Linked DNA regions of Danio rerio. The protein of the gene in region 1 purifies or fractionates together with the protein of each later gene. This does not show direct contact. Links are inferred from orthologs where the notes say so. Each region holds a gene or a part of one and is shown in the gene's direction. Other genes may lie near its edges.

Region 1 (4,136 bases):
CATTTTAAGCATAAAGTTGTAGAAGAACAAGTTCATCAGATGCTGGATTCGAACTGGTTTCATGATGATCAATCACGTCAAAACATGTTGCCAAGCGTTTTACTTAGCAGCTTACTTACTTAGCAGTTAGCAGCCTTTACTTTTGTTGTCAGTGTTATATCTTCTGCAAGAAATCATATAACCATATTACTAAAACAATCAGTGACGATACTAAAGACATAATAATAATTCTCTATATTGTAATAATGAATAGAATAGAAAAAAAAACATATTATAACAATTAAACTAGTTATAAATCTTTTCAGGCGACGCAGTGGTGCAGTAGGTAGTGCTGTCGCCTCACAGCAAGAAGGTCCCTGGTTCGAGCCTCGGCTGGGTCAGTTGGCATTTCTGTGTGGAGTTTGCATGTTCTTCCTGCTTTCGTGTGGGTTTCCTCCGGGTGCTCCGGTTTCCCCCACAAATTCAAAGACATGCAGTTCAGTTTAATTGGGTAGGCTAAATCGTCCGTAGTGTATGAGTGTGTGTGTGAATGAGTGTGTATGGATGTTTCCCAGAGATGGACTGCAGCTGGAAGCAAGTGGTGTTCGCTGCAGAGGCATTTGAGGAGAGCTGAGCTCCAGCGAGGGGGAGCTTAAGCTTGAGCTCCACCTTTTTTGCACTTCTTCTACGAGTGATGTCACTGGGGGTAGGGTTAGGGGTGGGGTTGGTGTACGCATTAAAACAGCTTACAGGAGGAGGAGCGACAGCTCATGCTCCCCCTCGCTGGAGCTCAGCTCTCCTCAAATGGCTCTGCAGTGAGCACCCTCTCGCTGGAAGGGCATCCGCTGTGTAAAACAAATGCTGGAGAGGTTGGCAGTTCATTCCGCTGTGGCGACTCCAGATTAATAAACGAACTGAGCCGAAAAGAAAATGAATGAATGAATGAATTATTTTAATCAGAAATTCTAACATATACTGTACTTTTACCATTCAAGAGCTTATATTATAAAATTGTATTTAGTTGTAGCACCGTTGTTTAAACAGGTCACTGATTTTGTTTGTCACAAAAACAACAGGTATCAATATGTTACAATCCTTAATACAGAAAATCATTGCTAATGTTAATCATTGCTAATGTCAAAAAAAACTGCAAACAATATTTAACAGACTTTGGTTTGTTGGCAAACATGAACAATGACTTATCACTCTCTTCCAGGTATAGGTTACATCACACTACCTCGAAAGATGATGTTGTAGTATTTTATCAAAAGATGATGATGTTAGTGGTGATGACGGTAATGATGATGATGCGTCTGCAGGAAACACAATTAGTCCAGCTGTTCTAGCTTCCGCTCCAGAGCCGAACGAGAGACAGCATTCAGGACTCGTCCCAGCATCCCATCACACACAGATCAGCAGGATTACAAACACACCGACGCGGTTTCTCCAGACACTAATCGACAAAAGCAGGATCTCTGAGGTACACCAGCCGGAGTAACAGCTCTCGAGGCCTGCATGGATGTGTTTGTGTAGCGGTCAGTGATGACAGAGGTGTTAGCCGTCATGCTAGCTGTCATGCCATCTGTTTTCAATTCAGTGTTTCCATTCCTCCACTAACGTTAATCGACATGCAAACACGATTATTCAATTTCACGCTTTTTCGTTTTTCCATAAAACCACGTCTTATCGTTTGCTTCGATCTCCGATTAGCATAGTGTTTACATGGTTGACTAGCATAAAGCTCTGTGTAGCAGATGCATGCCAGGAAGATTAAGTTAGCCCTGTTTTAAATTTATTTAGATATTAGCGGTAATGTACTGATTTGTTATTGCTCTAAAATGAGTATGTTTAGGAGTTGTCTGTTTCTTAATGCAAATTGTGAGCATTCTGAAAGCCAAATAGGCATTGAATCCAGATCTACACTGTACTGTTTTGACAAATGAATGAACCGTTTTGTTCCAGTCTCGTATTGTTCACTGAATGTTGAATCTATCCGTTTCAGTTTAGTTCTTCTCTTTATTCTACTCAGTGATTTTGTGATTGTCATTAGTTTAGACTGAGTTATTATTTAAACAGAAAATCAAGGCTATCTAATTTCCTGAATTATGTAAGCCCCATCATGTTTGAGGGATCTCAGTGTTTCTTTTAGCTGTTCGCTGACCTGTGCTTTTCATATAAATCATTTAGTGGCAGCGATGAAGAAAATGCTGGAATGATGCCTAACCTGTTGGTTTTGTTTATGAGCTGTTCCGTGACAACATGAAGCATGTGGAGGTTTTAATCAGTGGGGTCACTTGTTATGTCTGTAAACAGTTTGCTGTCAGCATGCTCATTGTGGATCTGGTGGTTTGTATTGACAACAGCAGGGACAGATTTCTGCTTTCAGTTTCCCTTGTTAACATTTCCAGTCCACACGATTGTCCATTCCATTGATGCATTTGCGACCCTGGATGAGAAAACCAGTATTATGTTGTTAAAGTAAATTTTTTTTTTGTCTGGTTCAGAGTTAAAAATATTTATTTCATAAACTCATGTTCCATGACAATATTTTGTATATGTCCTATATCAAAAGTAATAATGTGCATCGAAGAACTTAATTTGAGCAGTTTTAAAGTTTTCCATTATTATTTTAACTCTTCAGATTCCAGATATTCACACATACCTTTGCAAATATTGCTCTATTCTAGCAAACTATATATCAATGGAAAAGCCTATTTACATAACTTACAGATGATGTATACATTTCAGTTTTAAAAATGACACGTATAACTGGTTTTGTAGTCCAGAGTCCCATCTATTCATCAGTCAATCAGTCCATCCATCCATTCATCCGTCCGTCCATCCATCCATCCATCCATCCATCCATCCATCCATCCATCCATCCATCCATCCGTCAGTCAGTTCATCCATTCATCAATTAATCCGTTAATCCATCCATCCATCCATCCACTTGACTATTGCACATAGTTTTTTATTAAATTATTATAGTATTATAATTAATAAACAGATTTTAAAAGATTTAAATCACAAAATGAAAGTCATTTAGACCTATTTTTGTCATTCCAATTTACGGTCTCAATGAAAAAAAAAAAGTCAATTTGATTTAAGTAACCAAACAGTCTATGATTGTATCTTTATTGCAGTGCTTTAATGGTTTCTGGTGTTGTGTTACTGTATGTGTTGAGCAGTGATTCTTTTAAACTAAACTGATGCTATTAAGGCTGCACAAAATATAGTTTCTGCATTGATATTGCAATGTGCGCTTCCGCAATAGTCACAATGTTGAATCATACTTGACCACGAGCCACAGAACACATGTGATTTGTTGTCTCTCATGAGTTAAACCATAACAAAGTTTATTGATTACATGTGTTTTAAGGCCTGTAACTGTGTAATTCAGGAGAGTTTGAAATATTTCAGCACAAAAACAGGATGTTTGGAGGTGTAACAGATTAGTTGTATTTAAATATTAATACGATTTATGTAACATTTGACTTGGACTTTTTGTCTTGTTTCTAGTTCTAGTAGTAAGTTAGGCATTGGACGATATCTGTTTTCAAGGTATACCGTGGTTTAGAAAAGTCAAAGTTTTAAAACCATCACAATTTTTTGCAATATTGTTCTTAAGGTATGAGTAAAATTTTTCATTTATGTTTTTATTTATTTATTTATTTTTTTATTTTTTTTAGGAGAGCAGTATCTCCAGCAGAACAAATATCCAAAGATGCTGTTTTAAATTGTAAAAAAAAAAAAAAAAAAATCTGTTTTTAAAACAAATGAAGACAGCAGAAGTCAGTAATTTATTTAGTCTGACATGTTTACTGTTTTAAGATATTTTAAATGTTTCTCAAAATAAAATATATTGTGTTTAAAGAGGAAAAACTTTCCTTTTTTATACCTAGACATTAAAAAATATACATTTTAGACCAGTAATCACAATACCGTGATACCATGAAACCATGATATTTTTATCCAAGGTTATCATACTGTCAAAATCTTATATTGGCCCATGCCTTAGTCATTCATTCATTCATTTTCTTGTCGGCTTAGTCCCTTTATTAATCCGGGGTCGCCACAGCGGAATGAACTGCCAACTTATCCAGCAAGTTTTTACGCAGCGGATACCTTTCCAGCCGCAACCCATCTCTGGGAAACAT
Region 2 (4,113 bases), on another chromosome or scaffold:
GCAGCGCGGTTAGCAGAGGGGCGGGGTGGCTCCGCCTATACTGTCATTCTATTGGTCGATTTCTGGAGCAGATCATGTCAAGTGGAGGCGGGTCCGCAACGGGACAACCTTAATCAATATCCAGCGCGTTCTACATCCAAATAATAAAAGCATTGTTGATGCGTAATGTAACGTAATGTAGATTACGTAGAAATTCGAGTTCAGATGTGATCGTTTAATACCATTACAGGACCCTGCACGGGGCTGTACGCTTCAGTGGTGGCTGTGGTTTCTGCTTTAGTCTTTTACATCATGTTTTCATCCCAACTGGACACTGTGCTCGTTTCACCACAGATTGAATGTATTGCTAGTATAGTCGTTCATCATATCATAATGTCATTTTCATATCTCTCATGCTATAAACGACATGACTTACCTGATCTGAGGAGAAAGCAGCCTTAAAATCAGCGCGACGAGCCCTAAACCCGCCGCGAACGCCACGAGCGCGAGCATCATGACACTGCTGCTGCTGCTGTAACTGTACTGTACTCCAGTCTGTCTCTGTCCGTCCGAATGTGTTCAGCAGCCTCCCACTCACATCTACAGCTGTGCTCCCGGGGAATGATGGGATTGTAGTTTTCATTGTCTGCACCTGCACAAAAATGTTTCCTGAATGGTCATTAATTTGTTGCTGAAAATGATTGTAAATATTTTATTATTAAATATTATATTTGCAATAAACTACATGCTGTTTTATTGACATGTGTTGGGCCTTATTTTAATTATTGATATGTAGTAATAATGTATTTTTTCCTTCGCGTGTTTGTGTGAGAAAGTTTGCAGTATGCAACAACAAATAGAAAACAACAAAATGAATATAATTTAAAGTGAAATTGAAACTGAATAGTTTTTATCGTACAGCGTATCAAATATTATAGAGTGAATTATAGTACTATTAAGTCATTTATGTAAATGAATAGCAAATATGTAGGTAATATTTATTATGTCAGCTAAACTTTAATTGTTCGACGATTATATTTACGAAACAGATTAATTTGGGTTTTCCTAAAAATATGAACTACAACTCCCACACTGTATTTATGATGCGAGCTGTCTACATATTTGCTACGTTTAATTGAAGTCTACTTTTGTATCATTTTTCAAAAATGAAGTGCATTAAAATTTTAATTAAGCATACACATATTAATATAGAGCTGTTTTAGATGTTTAAAATTTTAAAACAGCCTTTAAGATTTTAATCTGCATTCTTGTTTGCAGGCAAAATCAAGACCGCCTATCATCACGAGGTCCAACACGGAAGCGTGAGCTGCAGTCCCGAGGATTTTGTTATTGCCCGAGAAGCTGATTTTTCCCTATTGTTTCGTACCACAACAGACTTCAAATTTTCGCTCTTTTATTCTGTTGTCATTTATTTTGTTTATTTGCTTTAGACTTCGTTTGTTCCACTATGTCTTCAGAGGAGTTTGAAAAGCTGCATGAGATGTATAAATCTCTGTATGACGAAGTGAAGTTGATGCCAGAACGGGTGCAGAAGAGCCAGGGAGGTGAATAAACTCTTTATACTGTATTATACGTTAACAAGACTGTGCGAATGAACTGCTTTCATCAGTGAATAGTCATTAACTTATTTTGAGTACTGTCATTAGAGATTTTCCAAACACTCCTGATATTGTAGCTGTGGATGAAGTATCGAGATTATGGAATTAGGCTGCTGTTCAGAAAAAAATGCTAAAATATCAACCATTAACAAACGCTTTGAAAGTGTGTGGCTATAGTTTTTTTAATCCACGGGAGTCTAGGACACGTTCATAAACTGGGTGCGAGGATTACAAATTGCTGGCTCAGTAAGAAAGACTGAGTCTAAACAAATTGCCATATACACTGCTTTGTGTCTGCAGTAAAAATGCAGTCTGCATATTTGGAAAAGACGATGTCATCTCTATCCCTAATTTGCAGAAGTGAGGTAAAGTTGGTTTTATATTTGCACATTCGTTAGTTTTTGACCAGTGGCAAATTGTGACTGTCTACTTTCAATAATGGCTGTGAGGCATGGGATTATGATTCAAAACGACATTAGCACATTTATTGACTGTGAACGACGCTGTACATTGATAGTCATTGGCTATAATATAATTTCCCTATTAAGAATTTTCAAAAATACTTTTCTGAAGTTATATTTGGAAGACTAAAGTCTCAAATGTGTGAATATAAAACAAACTTTACCTCAATATTTGCAGAGGGACATTCTAAAACGTTTAACGTGGCTTAATGTACTTGAACATCAACCAGAGAAACCCACATTTCTGTCGAGCTTTACTTGTAATTAACCCTAATGACTGTAAAATCAATGAGTCCCAATTCCCTAGATAAAATGTAAGACATCACAATAACCATTTTTCTGAAGTCTATTATAAGGAAAAAGCTTAACATGGCTAATGTACCTTAACAACAAGTGGGTAACATTTAGTTTCTCTTGGTTGTTGTTGTAAAGTCACGTTCAACCTTTTCTTATTATGGACTTCGATGGGAGGAAAACACTTAACGTGATATTGTTCACTTTATCTATGGAATTAGGGCCTGTTCTTTAGACAATAGTTAGTGTTAATCACTAGTAAAGTTTGACAAATTTGGGTTTTCCTGGTCAGTGTTAAGGTACGTTAAGCCAGGTTAAGCTGTTTCCTTATAATGGACTTTTACAGAGAGAACGTTTAGTGATATTGTTCACTTGATACAGTATACTAAAATAAAAGTTTGTTCTTTTAACAGAAGAAAGTGTTTATGAGTATATTTTTATATACATTTGATTGTCTCAATGTTATTAAGTTAAACCTCATTAAGGTCTTATAATGGATTTCAATGGGGATAAAACGTTTTAATGTCACATTGATCAATTAACTTCATCCACAGAATCAGGACTTGATCTTTTGCTAGTAGTTAAAGATAATTACAAGTGAAATTTCATAGATTTTTGGTGTGCTCTTGTTGAGGTACGTTAAGCCATGTTAAGCTCTTTCCTTTTATAATGGATTTGAAAAACGCATAACGTGATCCTTTTCACTTACTAAAATTAGAGCTCATTTTTTTGACATCAGAAAGTGTTAATCACAAGTAAAATTTGATAGAAATTAGATTTTATTTTAGAAATTAGATTTTAATTAGATGTACCTTGTTGTTAAGGTACATTAAGCTACATTAAGCTTTTTCCTTACAATAGACTACAGAAAAACGCGTAATGTGATGTTTTACACTTTATCTAGGGCAGTAGTTCTCAAACTGTGGTACGTGTATGCAGGCTTCCTTCTAGTGGTACACGGAGGAATCGCTGAATAATTAAAGTAAAAATGAGCACACTTTTAACCCTTTGACGCGTACGATAACGCCGATGTGATCAGTAAATTGATTTTAATAGGATAAACCTTTCATTTTATTTTCAATTTTCTAATGTTTGTTATGTATTCTATCATTTAAAGCTAATTTCCTCTCCATATTTGTAACAGTTGTAGGGGCTTATCCCATATTTTTATATCCCAATGTTCACAGGTATAGTTTAATCACTTGCTTTACTGACACACATAACCTACTCTAACGTGCAGTGGGCAAACTCATTTTTTATTTAAATATGCAAATCCAATTCATATATCTAAAATACAAGTTAACATTTAGATTTCAAAGATTTACAAAGTCATATATACATGCATCATATATTTCAAAATTTAGGATACTTTATGATAATACTTTACATTTAGGTACAGCAGTTTTCTCTTTACTTTTTAAAAACAGTGCCGTTTTTGATTAGCTTTTGAACGCACAGTTCAACAGCACAGTGTTAATGTTCAAACTACTTATGATGTTTAATATGGCTGAAAATAACAAATATTCATAATAATAATCAGAATTAATCTGCCACGCTTTTGAATTGTGCAGTGCTGTAGCTGCTTAATTAGGCCTACTACACTACTGTATTTCAATACTGGTCATTATGGTGGTACTTGGGAAGAATTTTTAATTGAGGTGGTACTTGGTGAAAAAAGTCTAAGAACCACTGATCTAGGGAATTGGGGCTCGTTCTTTTACAGTCATTAGGGTTTATTACAAGTACAATTTGACAGAAAT
Region 3 (4,080 bases), on another chromosome or scaffold:
TCAGCCGCAACCTATCACTGGGAATACTCTCATTCACAGACATACACTATGGCCAATTTAGCTTATTCATTTCACCTGTACCAAATGTCTTTGGACTTGTGGGGGAAACTGGAGCACCCAGAGAGGAAACCCAGGCCAACACGTGGAGAACATGCAAACTCCACACAGAAATGCCAACTGACCTAGCTGAGGCTCAAACCAGTGACCTTCTTGCTGTGAAGCGATCGTATTTTAATAAATTTTAACATAAATTACATTAAATTGAGGTGAATGACAACAGAACATTATTTAATTTCATGAACGTTATCTAAAACCCGAAAGTAGACACTTGCATTTAGTGTTTTCTAATATGTATATAAATTAAATTTTTTTTGTTTATTTCATTTTTAATGCCGACACCAAAACTAGACATGTCAGACACATCAATTTATGATTTACTTCACTATCTATATGCCTTCTAGAGCTAATTTGTTTAGCATTGACTGCCATTATGACAAAACTGAATCTATTGTAAACGAAAACTACAATTATAAAGTGATGAATACAATGGGTAATGTTACCTGTCAAATATTGTGCTTCAGTGGCAGCACACCTTGTTTCCAAGGCACACCCAAACTTTGTTTCTATGCTCATGTGTTGCATAATTTAGTTTATATTTTACTACTTCCACTATTTTTGGTGCAACACGCAAGGTTAAAGGTTAAAGGCAAAAGCGCACGATGTTTAAACGCCATAAAAAATAACAGTCTGCTGTCAGTCTGCATGAAGTAAATCAGTCCAGCTCAAATACTAAACAAACTTAAATCCAACCAAAAGGCGGTATAATTCAATTTTATGAGGTAAAATATTGAAGTCTTAACTGTAGAAATGACCTTATCTATAACTAGCAATCTATATGATAGCAGACCTTAACCAATGACACATGCTTCAAGGCAAAAAAACAAGGTTACTAACACATGTAAGACGTCATTTATCTTTCATTATGACCCATGTATCGTTAATTGTACTCTATACTGAAATGAAAAATTAATCGTTGACACATACTGTACCTCGACTACTGTTTCCTCGTGCGGTCAGAGTCCAAGAAAAATGACAGCGCCGCTTAATATGACCCAGTGAACGCGCTATTTAGCCAATCGTAATACTGTCAAAGCTTAAATCCGTTTTCAAAAATAACTACACGCAATTCAACGAGGAAGACCAAACAATTAATCGCACGACTCACCCCACAGCGGAACCATTGACAGGAAGAAATCGTGAACAAATTCCCGTGACACCACCCGGAAGTGACGCGGACGTCAATAAGAAGCAGACACAAGCAACAGTGTGTAACGCAGCTCAGTTTATCGCTCTTTTAATCTTTTAAAACTAAAAATACAACATGTCTTCAGATTTTGAAGCGTACGAACAGGACTTTGGGACCCTCACCGCTGAAATAACCAACAAAATCGGACGAATACCCAAATTAGCCGGTGGTAAGTGGATGTTAGATGAGCTGCTTAGCCAAAACATTGGTGTTAGAGAGACATAAACAACTCGTTTAATCATTTATTTATGCAGCTTGTGTGTGTGGTCGGTGTATTATTTAGAAATGGCCCATATCATTTGGTAAAGAAGCTATAGTTCGGGATGGTCGTGGTGTCAGATGTCCAGTATCACATGAGTCTGAGGAGACAGGATTTAGGTGACATGGGTCTTGGATGTCATCTTGTTTTTCTTAGATTTATTAATGTTATATTGGAATTAAGGGTTTTTAAATAAATAAAAAAAGATTTATTTTTATATACCAACGTAGAAAAGAATACTATCGAGTGAGACTAAACTAATTCCTTCATGGTTTTTCAGTGTTGACAATTTAATTTACTGTTTGATTTTAAGCATTGTGATTGATTGGTTTATTGTTTCCTGCATAATGAATTATACTGACATAAAATGCCATAATGCACCAGTTATAGGAGGAGATAATAAAGCAAGTTTTGATAAAAATAAAATTTGTGTACACTTAGTCAGGAGGAGTCTTTAACTTTTTTCAGGCCAGAGCCTGCGAGATGAAGTGACATATTGCAGAGGTTTTTTTATTTTTAAATGCTGTGTGGGCCACCAAAACTTTGCCCTTATCTCTATGTTATACCTATTGTTAGGGTCAGGCTATTTCCAGCTCCAATTTATCATCTAGTAGACATTTACGTTAAACACAATAGCTGGAATGTACCTGTTATAATGTTACCTGTTATACATTTAATAGCTTTGGCTTCAAAATAAATACTTGAAAAGGACTGGGTGTTAAAAACAATATGGCAGAAAAATTTAATGTAAAGTTGGTAAAACTGCTATCAAGCTATCAAATATGGGAGATGGATAATTCACCTCACAGCCACACAATCTGTATGTACATCAGGTTTATTTTTAAATCTGACTTAAGTTATATATTGTTGTTCTCATAAGAACTATTAAAGACATGCAAAAAGACATTCAAGCTAAAACCATTCTAATAGTATGCAAAGCACAACAGCCGCCTGTTTTCCCATTTATTATATTTATAGATCATGGAAATTCAGGTTTAGTAAGTAAAAATCTGGGAATTTGGCTTTCAATGGGAACCCTGATGATTTATATTGATTAAATGTTATTTTAATTTTGCATTTTAATTGATCATTTATTATTTATTAACTTGTTTGTTAGAATTATTATTATTATTATTATTAAGCCTACATTTTCATGTTTGTATATTCAAAAATGCCTAACAAGATCTCAAACTGTTACAAATGCATATTCTTAAGATGCTGCTCACCATGCACACATTTTATAGTCATATTATTTCTCATTGTTATTAATTGTAATATTTATTATTATAATATTATTCTATAATATTTATTATAATATGTTTATTGTCATCAACAGTTATTGATGTTTAATTTTTTTGTGAGAATTATGCTTAATTTTTCTTAGAGTTTTTGTTTGAAAACATTTCATGAACAGCAATTATTTGACAATATATTTTTAAATACATTTTCTTTTCTGTTTAAGGTTACTATTGATTATTGTAAGGCCTCATTTGTGAATAAATGTTTTTTATACTGCATATACGCTTTTAAAAATGAAAAAGCATCTGAAACTCTTTTTGATATTAATAATAGGGAGAAGCATTATTTGATCACCAAATCAACATGCTAGAATAACTTCTAAAGGATCATGTGACTCTAAAGAGTGGATCAACAATGCTGAAATTTCACTTTGGCCTTCACGGAAATAGGTTACATTCAAAAATATTTTAGCATAGAAAACTGCTATTTTAATGTATAAGACTGTTTTTCAATATTAGTGAATTTACTGCATTTTCCAAATAAATGGAGCCTTGGAGAGCATATCAAAGACTGAAAATTCCAAATAGATGAAATATCAATATATTACAATGTGTTTTGGTTTTGTTTATATTTTGGTTTTTTTTTTCCCCATTTTCTCTAGTCTAAACCCAATCTGGTAGTCAAACAATTAATATTGGTGTCCCTGTAGTAACTTCATGGAGCCCCTAGAGGTCATGGATTCCTGATGTTTTTCTAACTTATTTGGACATCAGATGCTGTGTGTACTGCATAATATATAATGGATGTATGTGTTCATAGACTATAGGCAATTTCAATATCAATATCAATATGTCTGCACTAAACACAACTTCATCACAAATTTCTTACACTTAGGGTTGCAAGTTATTGTAAGTTGTCATCTGCATCTGTAAACCTACTGTCAATACACCTGTTGTTGTGTTGTGGTTTTATTGCTCAAGTCAGACAAACTTGTTTCCATGAGAACAATGTTATTATGAGATACAAATGATTGCAGATAAGTCAGAGCTCATTATTTAAAAATATCATCAACCTTGTATATATTTTGACTCATCTTTTTTGTCTTTTATAAATGCATCCAAAACAATATAGCCAATGTTAAACGTTAATATTTTCCTGAGTACTTTTACTATATATTCTACTATTTTGGTTATTTTTTACATTTGTTTATTAAAACACAGCTTTTTATTTTTCCAGTCTAGTTGGAAAAAGAACAGAACCAGTTATGATTAACAGT
Region 4 (3,516 bases), on another chromosome or scaffold:
TTCAAACTCACATTGTTAGCATTTAACACTGAATAAAGCACATGATTTGTACCTTAGGTGATTATTAACAGTTTTCTGTTGTTCACCTGTGAGAAATACAGTAGAAGTTGTTTCTAAAATAGAACTGTCAGGGGTTTGTTAGGACAAAAACTCATTTTAATATGGCAAATATTCTTTCTATCACGTGCCGTTGCTTTTATTTAAAACAAGATTTAAATCAGCCTTTAGGGTAGTCAGACTCGCTCCTATTGATGTCATCAAATCACAAACTGCGCTTGCGTGTGGTCATCAGAGCAGGGGCAGAGTGAAAATGTGTTTTGAACCAGGAGTGCAATCCCTAATTGAACCACTGGATGTCAAACTTACATATTCCACCTTTAGGGCTCTATTTCGACGGTCCATGCGCAGAGCGCAAAACGCAGGGCGCAAACGCTTTCAGGGCGTGTCAGGACGCGTTTTTGCTAATTTAAGGACGGGAAATCTGCCTTGCGCATGTTCTAAAAGGGTTGAGTTTATTTTCTTAATGAGTTATAGGTGTGTTTTGAGAATAAACCAATTAGAGTCTCATCTCCAATTCCCTTTAAGAGTCCGCTGCATCGCGCCAAGAGCGCATTTGCTATTTACAGGACGCAAAGTAAGTATAAGTGGAAAAAATGAGCACTTCACTAGTAAACAGTTAACAGTTTTTTAACCGAAAACTGTTAAACAGAGCATCTACTGCATGAGAATGAGAGATAATAGATCACTTTCACTGTCGCTCTTGGATAGGGAAACCTTTACGCACAGACATCAATTAGTCTATAAATAAATAATTTTGTTTGTTAAGCGCAAATATTCGTTTCAAAACTATTTCTAAATTCAGTTCTAATTTCCAGCAAACGAATAAATGAATAATAATAGCAAAATGTGCTCAAAAACCTGAGTTATATCCTCAAACACATGCTGTGCCCCATATGGTCTAAAACCTGACAGGTGGGCAAATCTAAGCTTGTTTTTAATAAAACAAATATAAATATGGATATAATAAATAATACTGCTAATAATAATAACATTATACAAAAGCAAATTGTTATGAATGAACTGAAAAAGCCTCCCGAGATAAAGAATATTTATGTAGGCTAGAAAATAATATGTTTTGTAATATTTTAATCCTTTATATTTATATTTTAAATCTATTCTTATTATATACTATATATATCCTTAATATTTAAATTTTTTCATATGTAAAGATATTTGCCTATTGCTCTCTTGTGCGTATTAAGCAGTGCGTAAGCGAGGCGCAACTCTGCACCGGAGTTTAGAACAGGTTAGTTTTGGTCTAATGAAAAATCTATTATAGTTTCTCAAATAGCAACGCGCCAGCGGTCCGCCTCAGAACGCCTTCCTTTTTAGACCAGAACGCATATGGACGCAAAAATGAGCGCTAATGCATTTGCTATTTAAACAGCGCAGCGCAACGCCTCAAAACGACTCTTGCGCCAAGCTGAAAACTACCAACAGACTACTGCGCCGCGTCTTGCGCCACACTGCGCCGGGTGTATGATAGGGCCCTTAATGTTAACTCTAATTAGCCTTCATACATTATTTGACCCTAAACTGAACCCAGGCATCCAACACCCTCATGAGCCTTTATTTTGATCAAAATAGACATCCAAAACACAGGATACAGTATGTATAATAAGTTGATTTAAAGGTCCCATTCAATGAAAAAAAAAGGTGTTAGTATAAGTATGTTAGTGGTAATGCTATCTATAAGCTAGTGTGCTCAAAAACAGTGATACAGTTTGCATGTAGTAGATACAAACATCCAAAGCTTGCAGTTTGTCACTTGGAACAACTTTTTTTAACCTTACCTCATACTTCAGTTCCTCATCAAATCTTTTAACCAATCAAATGCTCTCTACATGCCCTGCCTCCCTTCAAGATGCTTCTCATTTGCTTTTGATTTGATGCGCTTGATCTCAACCACTCTCACTGGCAGAGCTGTGATAGAACTAAACGCTATTGGCTATTTTTTTTTTTTAATAAGGAGCTACTATATGTCCCGCCCAGTCTTCATGTTTCAGAAAAATGCACAATTCAAAGCACTTCACGGAACCTTTAATGTGTATCTATTTTTTAAATGCATTAATACAATAGTAAAAGATCTGAAAGCTGAAATATTCATAGCTATTTTTATTTGAAAAGGAATGAAGGCTGGAGAATGCAGACAGAAGAGGAGCCTGTCACAGAAGAGGACCTTGAGCTTATTAAAGAAAGAGAGACCAATATCCGTCAGCTGGAGGTGAGCACACCTTACATACAAAAATCCAACATCACTAAACAACAACAATAAGAATAAGTAATGTCCTGAAGATTCATATGCATTCAAACACTTTTTTTAGTTTACTAATTTCTTACATAATTATTAAGACTATTGTGTTTATGGGAGTTGTCCGATTTTAAAGTATTATGTGCTATTTGCTTTCTGGTCTTGATTTAGTCAGACATTATGGATGTGAATCAAATCTTCAAGGACCTTGCTGTTATGATCCACGACCAGGGTGACATGATAGGTAGGTTAGTCTAGTTATTTCTAAACTGTTTTAAAAGGCATTTAAATTTCCACACAGTTATTTTGTTTTGTTGAACCCTGGTTTTGTCATGTCATGATACACAGATAGCATTGAAGCCAATGTAGAGAGTGCAGAGGTGCATGTGGAACGAGGGGCCGAACAGCTCCAGCATGCTGCATATTACCAGGTATGTTCACCATGGACATTTATATGACATTCATTTCTTTATATATACAGGGGTTGGACAATGACATTAAAACTCCTGGTTTAAGACCACAATAATTCATTAGTATTGTGAAGGGCCTCCTTTTGCAGCCTTATTCTAAAATGCGGAAGTGCGCCTGTTTTCGCGATTGTCTTAGAACTTCCGTTTCAGTCACCTATGGGAGAAATGACTAGGAATAATAAACGGCAAAAAACGGTCAAACTACTTGCTCTACAAACAAATGTTTGCATGACTATACAGACCAAGTAGAATAATATAACAAGGAAATATCAGTTTGCAACATCAAACAGCGAAACGAGCAATTTTTAATGTCTAAAAATGAATGGAAGTGAATGAGACCGGAAGTCTCGTGCCAAAAAGATTCAAATGGCAGCGCCCGCTCGTCTGCGTAGAATCAATACAGCATCAATTTGTTTTGGCAATGACTGATACAAGTCCTGCACAGTGGTTGGAGGGGATTTGAGCCATTCTTTTCGCAGAATAGCGACCTGGTCACTACTTTATGCTATTGGAGAAAATATTTCCTAACTCGCTCCTCCAAAAAACCCCAAAGTGACTCAATAATATTTAAATCTGGTGACTGTGCAGGCCATGGGAGATGTTCGACTTGCCTTTCATGTTCATCAAACCACTCTATCACCAATCCTGCTGTGTGTATTTTTGCATTACCATCTTGACAAACGGCATCGCCTTCAGGATACAATGTTTGAATCATTGGGTGCACATAGTCCCCCT
Region 5 (3,516 bases), on another chromosome or scaffold:
TTTGTATTATACTCGGGGCTTCTACGCTTCTTGAAAGTGCTTGAATTTCAGACATGAATTTAAGCCCTGGAAAGTACTTAAAAACAAACGGAGACACTTAAAAGTGATAAAATAACAACATAAACTATTAATTTAAGCAATCAAAACTGAATAAATAAACAAAGAATTTATTAATTTAAAATCTTAAATTGAAATCTTGTACTAGAACTATGACAAATAATGCACATTTGAACAATATTTCACAAACTTCATGAAAGAGTGAGGACCTTGTATGCTGTTAAATATTGTTTAATATGTCACATATTATGACATGTAATAGCCAATGAAGCGTGTAAATACCCAAATATTATTACTATTACGGGGGAGGGGAAAAGGCATTTTTGAGGAAAAATGTTGACAAGCTGCTTCTTTGTTTGGGTTTCTAGGTTGCAACACATGCTATGGACAGCACTTTACTGAAATACAGCGCAAAGGACTATTTCTTTAAAGCTGCTCTCTGTCACTTCTGTGTTGACATGCTGAACGCTAAGGTATGAATCACACTGTTTAGGGCAAGCTGACATACAGCGGTTGTGTTGTTTTCAATCCCTCATTATTTTTGTCTTTGATGTCACCCCTTGCAGCTTGCCCTTCAGAAATACGAAGAAATGTTTCCAGCCTTCTCAGATTCTCGTGAATGCAAACTCATGAAGGTAAAACTAAATCTCAAGTTCAAGTGCTTGTAAATGACAAACCTTTAATTTGCCCTAAGTGTGTATTTAGGATTTTTTAGTAGTTTCTTATTCACCATTCCACAATGTAAGGCCTTAAAGGGATAAATTGAAAGTTACTCACTATTTACTCAGCCTAAACACCTTAAAAAGAAAATTATATAAAACCTTGACTTTTTCAAACTGCGAACCCATGCCTACCATAAAACAGCAGTAATATATATATATATATAATTTTTTTTTTAAATGGTTCCATTTTAAACATTTATCATAAATTATACATTGTATAATCATCATTATACTATGACTTGGCTAATTACCCGACTTCAACTGTATATAGAAAAACCCATACGCTTACTCGTATGCATCCCGGGATTAATAAATCCACTGTTTTATCAGAAAGAGTGAGATCAGTGGGTTATCTGCATATCCATGATGCAAATAGAAGTTTTTGTGTCTGTAAAGGGATCTTTATCATCCTGATGAGATTAAAAAAATAGTCAAAACATGAGTGATTAGATGACAGTACTGCTTCATTTTTACAAGTGGTCTGATCTTCACTTTCTTTGATTGTCTTTGTATTTTGGGGGGTGTTGGGGAACCAACTGGTCTGTCAGTTGAAGAAGACCCCAAAGTCAAATATTTGATCAAAGAAAGTTTACTGGAGATAGTTTGCAGTTTTATCTGCAGGAGCCAGCTTCAACACTCAGATCAACAACAATTCTACCCATCACTAACTGCGTCATACATATAGGAGTTTTAACCTGATTGGTTGAAGCACAGATAAACTTATAAAATGTCCAAATGTGTGCGTACAGTTCAGAACAATATCTTCAATGATTACATTGGCGTCAAGCCTACAAAGATCAGACACAACAGGAGGATGTTTCTCACAACTCGCGCACGCACACACACACACACACATGCATACACAAATAATACTTCTCTACTTCAAGGATGTCTTGCTCTCTAGCAGGCATCTTATCAGAATGGTACAATAAACATCTTTCCACTGATGGCTAACTAAGCATGAAGAATCTTAAAATAATTTATTCTCTAACACAGTAAAATTGACATCTAGCGACAGCTGTTCAAGTAGCATCAAACATCCAGGCCTCTTTGATGTGCCTGAAGGTCCTGAGGAAACAAATCGTTTGGCATACAGAAAAAGCAATGGCACGGATATCATACCAGTGTTACTTTTGAAGAGGGAGAACACTAATGTCATTATATAATCTAGGCCCTTAAACATTCAAATTTTATTAATAAGTGGGGTTTATTTATAAACTAACTTCGAGAGGATCACATGCTTATTATTGAACACAGCTGGTCATGCATTAGCCAATCCATGATTCACCAATCAGACATTTCTTTAGTCTCTATAAAAACCCTAAGTAACATAACACAGCCATCTTCATTTTACAGAATCCCCCCTTCCACCCCTACTCCTCCTTTCTTAGATCGGCAGCACAGTGGCCCAATAGTTGGCACTGTCGCCTCACAGCAAGAACGTCAATGGTCCTTACTTAGCCAGTCAACATTTCTGTGTGGAGTTTACATGTTCTCTCTGTGCTCCTAGATAGACATGTCATAGACATGCTCCTAGTAAGTAGTTTTTTCTTGAGAGCAATTTCATCTGTTGATTAGTTATCACAGTTTTCAAGATCTACCTGAGCTCAAACTCCCCTCTCGCCTTGCAATGGGAGGGAGCCCTGGGCTCGAGGATCTTATGAGCTTAAGGCTCTCTCTTGGGACAGCATGCCAAACATGCTTAATAATCAATCATCAGCTAAGTGTGAACTCTTGAATCATAAACAGATACAAAAGGACAGGTGTTACTCGGGGTTCTGCCGGTTTCACCAAGTTAAATTTAAGACTTTTTAAGACATTTTTAAGACCATTAAGAATGAAATTTAAGACTCAAGGGCTAAAAGTTAAGGATTTTTTTAATGGCCCAGATGGAAAAGATTTTTATTTGCCTCATCAAAAAAAAAAAAAAAAAAAAGAAATTTATAATTAAATACATTTAACAATACAATTATATATTAATAATAAAAAATATATGAAGAGTTCGGATGCAAAATCTTCTAAGTGAGTTTTTTTTCTAAAATTATTTTTTTTTTTCAGGCTTATATTGTATTAGTTGAGTAATTTCCCTTTTATGTCAATTAATATGTTATTTAGATTGCCTTTAATGCAAAATTAGTAAACATAAATATGGGAGTATCCGAAAAATGTTTCTTCTCTTGACTTGTTTGCCGTTCTGTCCTTTCACTTTAGTTAAAGCTCCAGACAAAGTGTCAGACAATTACATTCCTAAGAGAATGCATGCATCACCCTGTGTAAATTTGTAAACCTCAGCATAAAAAAGTATAGGATGCAGTAAAAAAAAAAAAAAAAACTAAAAGATCTTGTTTAGGGAATCAAATTTCCCAATATTCTGGATCGCAGCTTCGAGTTCATTTGTTAAACCCTCTGACCATGCTACTACATTTATTTATTTAGCAGATGCCTTTATCCAAAGGGACTAAAAAATAAAAAAAATTTCTTGCTAAAAACAACTTTGAGCCAAGAAAAAACAAACACTTTTATTTAATTTTATAGATTGTGATTGGTTGTCCAAAAAGATGGAGAATAAAGAGCAAGGGTCTTAAACAGTGTTTGTTTTAAGGCTGGGACACGGCAAGTTGACAGTCGGCCATTGAGTGCTGTCGGGCTGTCAGCATGTAGAATCGGCGTTGGTGGAAGAGATGGGTCAGATTGATTATTCAGCAATGAATCAGACCACGAGATTAAAACTGATAAT

Evidence for each region.
Region 2: the proteins of vamp4 (region 1) and vti1b purify together in Homo sapiens (affinity purification with mass spectrometry; 4 studies listed by BioGRID and IntAct, counting the BioPlex papers as one, with this or other methods). This does not show direct contact. The link is inferred for Danio rerio from reciprocal best matches to the Homo sapiens genes VAMP4 and VTI1B.
Region 3: the proteins of vamp4 (region 1) and vti1a purify together in Homo sapiens (affinity purification with mass spectrometry; 4 studies listed by BioGRID and IntAct, counting the BioPlex papers as one, with this or other methods). This does not show direct contact. The link is inferred for Danio rerio from reciprocal best matches to the Homo sapiens genes VAMP4 and VTI1A.
Region 4: the proteins of vamp4 (region 1) and stx12l purify together in Homo sapiens (affinity purification with mass spectrometry; 3 studies listed by BioGRID and IntAct, counting the BioPlex papers as one, with this or other methods). This does not show direct contact. The link is inferred for Danio rerio from reciprocal best matches to the Homo sapiens genes VAMP4 and STX12.
Region 5: the proteins of vamp4 (region 1) and napab purify together in Homo sapiens (affinity purification with mass spectrometry; 3 studies listed by BioGRID and IntAct, counting the BioPlex papers as one, with this or other methods). This does not show direct contact. The link is inferred for Danio rerio from reciprocal best matches to the Homo sapiens genes VAMP4 and NAPA.

What each region holds. Positions count from the first base shown.
Region 1 is NC_133195.1:16,222,312-16,226,447, forward strand, and holds the start of vamp4 (vesicle-associated membrane protein 4), read left to right. Parts: upstream 1-1,335; 5' UTR 1,336-1,459; intron 1,460-4,136. UniProt on the Homo sapiens protein: Involved in the pathway that functions to remove an inhibitor (probably synaptotagmin-4) of calcium-triggered exocytosis during the maturation of secretory granules.
Region 2 is NC_133188.1:36,491,384-36,495,496, reverse strand, and holds the start of vti1b (vesicle transport through interaction with t-SNAREs homolog 1B), read left to right. Parts: upstream 1-1,313; 5' UTR 1,314-1,447; coding exon 1,448-1,544; intron 1,545-4,113. Other genes in the region: rdh12 (retinol dehydrogenase 12), read right to left, coding at 416-495. UniProt on the Homo sapiens protein: V-SNARE that mediates vesicle transport pathways through interactions with t-SNAREs on the target membrane. These interactions are proposed to mediate aspects of the specificity of vesicle trafficking and to promote fusion of the lipid bilayers.
Region 3 is NC_133187.1:33,314,103-33,318,182, reverse strand, and holds the start of vti1a (vesicle transport through interaction with t-SNAREs homolog 1A), read left to right. Parts: upstream 1-1,280; 5' UTR 1,281-1,381; coding exon 1,382-1,475; intron 1,476-4,080. UniProt on the Homo sapiens protein: V-SNARE that mediates vesicle transport pathways through interactions with t-SNAREs on the target membrane. These interactions are proposed to mediate aspects of the specificity of vesicle trafficking and to promote fusion of the lipid bilayers.
Region 4 is NC_133191.1:7,967,132-7,970,647, forward strand, and holds part of stx12l (syntaxin-12), read left to right. Parts: intron 1-2,187; coding exon 2,188-2,284; intron 2,285-2,482; coding exon 2,483-2,555; intron 2,556-2,659; coding exon 2,660-2,742; intron 2,743-3,516. UniProt on the Homo sapiens protein: SNARE promoting fusion of transport vesicles with target membranes. Together with SNARE STX6, promotes movement of vesicles from endosomes to the cell membrane, and may therefore function in the endocytic recycling pathway.
Region 5 is NC_133193.1:47,646,274-47,649,789, forward strand, and holds part of napab (N-ethylmaleimide-sensitive factor attachment protein, alpha b), read left to right. Parts: intron 1-425; coding exon 426-530; intron 531-623; coding exon 624-692; intron 693-3,516. UniProt on the Homo sapiens protein: Required for vesicular transport between the endoplasmic reticulum and the Golgi apparatus. Together with GNA12 promotes CDH5 localization to plasma membrane.